Linked DNA regions of Drosophila melanogaster. The protein of the gene in region 1 purifies or fractionates together with the protein of each later gene. This does not show direct contact. Each region holds a gene or a part of one and is shown in the gene's direction. Other genes may lie near its edges.

Region 1 (3,200 bases):
ACCGCTCTCTTTCATCCGCTTTGAGCTGCCCTCGACTGCATCGTCCAGCTCTGCTGACCACACCTTCAACATCGTGTCCCAAGAGCCCGTGGCAAATCTCAGACCATCCGGACTCACGCTGACACTGTCGACGCCTCGCTCGTGGCCCTTGCACACGGAGACACATTCCACCGAGTTGGAGCCCACGTTCCACTGCCACAGCATGGCGGTCTGATCCTGCGATGTGGACACAAAACGTCCCGTCTCCTCGTCCAGCGATATCCAGTCCACCGCCTTGATGGGCGCCGTGTGACCAGAAATAGTGAGAATGTGCTTGCCTTTGTTGGTCCACAAATTCAGGGTGTTGTCGTAGCACCCGGAGAGGATCCACTTTCCTCTAGCCTTCACCGCGGACACCCAGTCGTCGTGCAGCAGGCAATCCTGTGGCTCTGGCGCCGGGAACCGCTCCACATACTCGATCTCGATGGCGTCCTCGAAACTGATGGCTTTCTCGCGCAGGTGATCGCACAGCCGGCCACGCAGGTACTCATCGAACACCAGGAAGTCGAAGTCCGTGTCGGAAGAGCCATCTTTTTGACGCAACAGTGCGTTCACGAATGTGTTTAGCTCCACGGTGGTGACGGTGCCATCGATGGCATAGGGCACATCAGGCACGGCATAGCTGAAATAGGGTATCTTGATTAAAATCTTCTACTGATAGAGATTCTAGATGGACACTCACTGCTCCTGCTTGGTCTTCAGGTGCACCTGCACCTGCCCCTCGCCGTTATCCACATCCATCTCCTGGCCCACGTGCGTTTCTTTTTGGCTGGATTGGGATTGGGGTGTTCCCGCGTGTGTTTGCTACGGTTATGACTTAACTCCTGCAGGTGGTACAAGGTGTTGACCACTAAACTAGAGGTTCTTCCTTCGGGAGATCGTTGTGTAAAATTAAATTGAAAAGAAGCGTGTTTTTAAACGAACGATGGTAAATGCAACAAATACATGCAAAAACACTAAAAAACGCCGAAGCGCATGCCGGAATAAGAGTTATCGCATTGCTATCGCTGTGCTCTTATCGAAATGCCTTATCGTCTTGTTATCACCCGTTACTACTAAGCGGAGTTTTTAAATTCAAATTTTTTGGTGCGTTAAAACTATGCATAATTATAATAGCTTGCTTAAGTGTAATTTGCCGATTACTTTAACAAATAAAAAGATATTAATAGAGTGTATGGTATTTCTAATCACTTTGATTTTGTTTCTCTAAAATATTACTCATCAAATTCGAAAAACCGCTGATTGCATAACCACTGCTTTGTCGTTTCTCCTTTTTTTTATTACAAAAAAATCTTACAGAGATACGAGCCAATTCGCAATACTGATAATTAAATATTTTTTGCAAGCAAATCAGGCGCAGATGATTTGCTGTAATTTAGCCACTAACTGCTTCTCTTCCTTTTGATCGTCTTACGCAAAATGGAAAAATAAGAAACCAAAAAATGCACAGCCGCGGCGGCAATTTGTAAATGACTCTTCAATCTTCAAAGACTGGTAATTGTTAATATTTTACGTTCAGGCTATTAATATGAACCAGATAGCACCTGAAAGACCACTTTGCGGCCGAGTGTTCACTGGAAGGTTAAATGCCACTTGACATTTCTGAAGTGGCGCTTAACCTTCGCATCAAAATTGGACAAATGCCCAAGAAAATAAAAAATTTCCAATAAAAAATGTATTCACCTTAATGGGTCGATGGGGATATTAAGCTGGGAAGTAATAACACTTTTTTTCGGTACTACTACTTTGTGCCACCATTTTGGCTTTACAAAAAACCAGAAACGAAGCGAAATGAAAGAGTTAAAGCTTTCCAGATTTTCGGGGCTTCCAGCGGCGCAGCTCAGCTTATAAAACGGGCATTGCGCCTGCGCAGCCGAAACATTACAACAAACGACGCGCGCAAGGTAAGACCATAACCAAATCCAGTCCGCATCGAGCGCCACTGAATCCGTGCATCTCTTGCAGTTGAATCCCCTCGAGAAAACCCACAAAATGAAAGTGTTCGCGCTGTGTTCGATGCTCGCCCTGCTCCTGGCTGGTGCCCAATCCCTGCCCCAGAATCGCGAGGGTGCCGCCTACACGAACGAGGCGATCCGGCAGGCGCAGCAGACGCTTCTCATCCCCAAGGATGCCCAGATCCAGAACGTGCAGGAGGGCATCGAGCTGGGCGCGTACGAGCAGATACCCGGCAACCAGCGCATCAATCTCTTCGAGATCCTCGGCGACCAGGTGCCCTCCGAGGTGATAAACAACCTGCAGTCCCAGGTCGACCAGATCGGTCGCAACTAAGTCGTAGGACCACTTCCTTGGTTAGCTCATTGCATTTCGTCCTCATTGTTAAGTTTCTCACTAATAAAACGAAAACATTACAAGTATTTAATCGCAGCGTTTATTTACCACCCAAAACAATTGGAAAAAAAAATCCGAAAAAAATATTAAAAGCGAAAGTGATCCTCCCCGAAAACCAGTTGGTTCCTCTGCAAACGAACTCTCGAATCGAAACGAGTGATTTATTGGTTTGATTTGTGGCTTTTTCCTAACGATCTTCGCCGACTTTCTCCTCGCTGATCCCGCTGCGCATACGAATTAACAATAAAAGTCGGCACATTGCTATCGCATGGCATGGTATCCTATCCTCAACCTTGTTACGTAACCCGGGGATGGGAATGGCGATGGAGTCGCTGGTAACCCGAGTGGTTGCCCCGCCGGCAACTTTTGTGCTGCGGTCGTGATGCAACAGTTGTCGTCGTGATTGTTTTCCTCGGACTTTTATTTATTTTTTTTTGTATTTTGTATTTTGTTGCTTTTTGCTGGGCTTCGGTTTGTTTATTTAATTTCTGGTAATTGCCGCCACATGCACTTGCATGTGTAATGAGTTGTACGTGGAGGGGGCGTGGCATGCCCGCAGGTACAGAGGGGCTGCTTGCATAACATCTGGGTGGGTCCGATGATCGTAGGGTATTTTATAGGGCCCTGATTTTTGCATCATTTGTGGTAATAAATATTCCCAAATATGATATGAACCACTTAAAACTTTTATCTTGTGTGTTTAGAATTACCTCATTTTTATTTCGTACTTCATACATTGTTAAATGAGCTTCAATCTAAATTTACGCTAGTTAAAGTATTTTCATAATATATTTTAATTATCTCAAAAATTC
Region 2 (3,931 bases), on another chromosome or scaffold:
ATCAAAAGTGAAAATAGAATTTTAGTGTTTAGATTGAAAATAGAAATTTTGTTTCAGTTTGGCGCCTTCTTTGCTGTTACGCTTTGCCCACTCCACAAACATTCAATTTGTCAAGTTGTTAAATTTTAGCAGCTTTTCAGCTGTGCCCCGCCCACTTTCCCAAGAGCGCCCACTTTCTTTGCTCTCGCCCATTGTTGAATGCTGTGCATTTTGCATTTTAAATACAATATAAATTAAGTTGGCAGCTTCTGGCATTGAGAACAGTTTTCGGCAAAGCTGCTGAATGAATGAATGGCAGCCCTTTTATCAAGATTCTCAAGTTAATTTTGCTGAAGGATAAGAAGTTCGGGGAAAATGGGCGGGGAAATCGAGGAAAAACTGACATTGAAGACGAATTGTTCGCTCGGAATGAAGTGGAATTTTATTCCGGTGGGTGGAAAACTTTCCTTGACGATTGAATAAAACGCTGAACTGTTGGGAGAACTCAAAAGCACAATACTATTTTAAAATAGTATTACCAAAGATGTTGGATACCATAAATGAGTTAAGCACAAACTCCATTTGTTTATAAAAATATAATGTGCAAATATGATTTCCAATTTATTTATCCATAAATAATGAAAACATTTAAACATAATATTTGAATCTTATAAATTGTCTCTTTAAATATTAAGTTCGTAAATATATTTGAACGATCATTTACAAAATTAATTTTCTTCGTATAGTTTTGGAGTCACACAAAACATCGGCGAGAAATTTCTCGCATGCGATAAACAGTAAATATTGCACTGCTTGAAGCAGTGCTTCGCAAACTTGCGGCGCCTCTCAAACTGCTATTGTTGTGCTCTCTCCCTGAAAATTTTCTCTCTTTGAATTTTCCATTCTGTTTTTCATTTGCGGACCTGCGCTTTTCATTTGCCGGCATTTCTGGAGCAACAACAAAATTCCAGCGCTGAGTTTTCCCCCTGCCATGCCCCCCTTTTCGTATTTATATATTTAGCTCTCATTAAATATTTTCAACTAGAGCGAAAGATACTTCCGTTTCCTGTTTTATAAAAATAGTACTTGCCATATATAAATATACATATTTACTATGTATATAAATATTTGTAACTATATATGAGGTAAATACTTACTTGACTTAATATAACTAACTAGAAAATAATTCAAACTCCTTATCAAATTCAAAGTAAAATTTGGGAAAATCTACCATTTAGTTCTTCTATATATTATTATATATAAGATTATACTAAAAGTTCACTTTTCCGAGCGCTCACTGTAGGGTGTTTTTGTAGTGGGCCTAAAAATAGGAGACGCCACCACTCGTGAAAATTCTTGAAGAGCAGTTTGGGAAATTCCTTACCGAAAAGTTATATATGGCCGAAAAGAGATTTGCCTTGCGCCATTGTTTAGTGAATTGAATTTTGGTTCAGTGTGTATTTGTTTTTGGAAAAACAAGGTGAAATTGCTTTTGAAGTGCGGTTGCTTCTTGTTTTTCTTTCGCTTCCCTCGAAAAGATTTTCATTTGCCGATTGCCTCATTGGATTTTGAGGTATTAAAGTTTTCGAGAGGGGAATTAGTATCGCATTATTTGGATGTTTCTGGTGCGGAATGCAAATTGATTTTCAATAGTTTTTCGACATTTTCCAGCTCGCCAGAGGAGGCGGCTTTCCACCCAAATTGGCAATTATCATCGGGTGGCGGAATTTGTGGGTGCGAAATGCAAATCAATGGGCAAATCTAATTCAATTTGAGTTCCTATAATCAACTGCTGTGAATGTGAAATGAAAGGCAGACGAAGTTCACTCGTCACTTGATTCAACGTCGTTTATTAATTTGATTTATATGACTTAATGATTAACCAAATATTTATCATATTGAAAAAGATTGACCATTTCGATTAAAAACAAAGATACAACTATATTATCTTTGTAATAATATTTCGATGCTGTTTATATAGCCACGTGTAAATACGATATGTTATCAAGAAATTTATTAATAGATATAAAATCGAGTTTGGCGCCAAATTAAATTTTGAATTTCCAGCCGCTCTCTTCTCGAGTGTGACCGCGCTGCCGACAAATGCCGCGAAACGGTGCAAATTCGGCCTTATCGGCCGCTAAGCAGCTGGCCACACTGCGGCATATAAACAATTTTTTGTCACAATTTTTTTGAGAGCAGACGAACGCACATCGAACGCCAATTGGGGATCGTAAAGTCGGAAAAACAGCGTCGCGCTCGCTTCGAAATAGAAAAAAAACACAATAAACATTAGGTCAAAATCGCATTGGCAATCTTTTAAGTTTCGATTTGATTTAATTTCGCGGTGCAAAGCGAAAGAGAATTTTGAAACGTTTGATTTTTGTTGTTTCGCCGCTCTCTTCGTTGTTGTTCTTTTTGTTGTTTTTTCCGGCGCGTCGTTTGGCGTTTTTAGTGTATGCGTGCGTGTGTGTGCGTAACTACGTGCAGCTGTGTGCGTGCTTCAGTTTGATTTAAATAAATTATTAGTGAAAAGCAGCTGAGAAGAGTAAAGAATACGAAAAAGTGCAAGTAAACGCAATAAAAATATTGCACATTAAATAATCAACAAGTGTAAGTGCAAAGCAAGTGATGTGCAAAATGCAAGAGCAGAGAAAAGAAAATAAAAGCAGAGAAAATGCAGAAAGGAAAATTGTTGTAACTTTTTAACAGCCCAATATCGAATTTAAGTGGCTATTAAAAATCGAAGATCGAGGCAAAGTGCAAAAGGCAACAAAACTACGAAAGCGCCCAAAAGGAAAATCCGGTTTTACAACTTCTCTCTTCACACACTAAACACACACATACAAAACACTCACACTCACACCAGCGAACAATCGAATTCTCTCTGAGAAACTAAAACTAAAATTCCTTTGCTGGGTTTTAATGAATTTTCTATGGGAATTTCACCAGCTAACGAGCAGCTAAAAAAATAATAATCGTAGATAAACAAATAGTGTGAATGAAAAATCAGCTGCGACAGGTGATGCAAAACAAAATACGCAAGGTGCAAAGAAAAAAAATACTTTCATGTGAATTCGATCACAGTGAACGCTCAGTAAAGAAGGAAGCTATTATCTGATCATATCATTATATTATTTAATTTAGAAAACAACTTTTAAAAATTACTTTAGATAATTAACTCATATGCTCATATCATTTGAAGTGCTAGAAAGTTTAAATAAATAGTTATCCATTTTAAAGCTCCACTGTATCTCAAGTATTTAAAAAACCATCCAGAAAAGTGAAATCAATAACAAAAGAATTTGAAAAAAGCGGAAAGAGCGGTCATAAAAATAGTATAAACAGAAAATAACAATAAACCAGTCAAAAAAATAAGCAGTTACCTGTCTCACTCTCTCTTTCCTTAATTCAAACATTTGCGTAAACAATAACCGCTTTACAGTAATTTCGGGCACCTGCTTTTTGTTTACACAAATGCATAAATATGTTGAATATGAATAAATTAATTCATTCAGCGTGTACGGGGCACGCTGCCTCGCTAAATGGAATTTTCACACGAAAAGTGGGAAATATGTGAAGAAAATATAGCGCCAACTTGTGTTATCTTATCCGTAACACAATTTTAATGATGGTGCAATTGAAAAAAATAGCAGAGAAATGTGCTACAATTGCTTCCTTATCAAAAAAGGTATTACCTGCCGGAAAGAGATAGTGGTAGTAGTGATAGGCGGGGAAAGAAAGAGATGGGTGTACGGTGTAGGAAATTACATATTTCATTATTTCCTCGCCCGATTTTTCCGACCAAATATTTTTATCTACTTACAATGTTGTCTAGACAGATTCCTTCGCTTTTCTTCCGTTTTTTTGTTGTGCCACCCATTTGTATATGTATGTACATAGATGTGTATAGGAAAAGTCTGGTAGTGGTGTGTATACTGCGAGATTTCGC

The links.
Region 2: the proteins of CG17127 (region 1) and CG32264 purify together in Drosophila melanogaster (affinity purification with mass spectrometry, with the first as the bait; one large-scale study listed by BioGRID). This does not show direct contact.

The regions. Positions count from the first base shown.
Region 1 is NT_033779.5:10,768,954-10,772,153, forward strand, and holds CG17127 (uncharacterized protein), read left to right. Parts: upstream 1-1,914; 5' UTR 1,915-1,943; intron 1,944-1,977; exon of another isoform or gene 1,978-2,004; 5' UTR 2,005-2,031; coding exon 2,032-2,328; 3' UTR 2,329-2,417; downstream 2,418-3,200. Other genes in the region: CG6724 (uncharacterized protein), read right to left, coding at 1-661, 722-780.
Region 2 is NT_037436.4:3,786,218-3,790,148, reverse strand, and holds the start of CG32264 (uncharacterized protein), read left to right. Parts: upstream 1-2,188; 5' UTR 2,189-2,592; intron 2,593-3,931.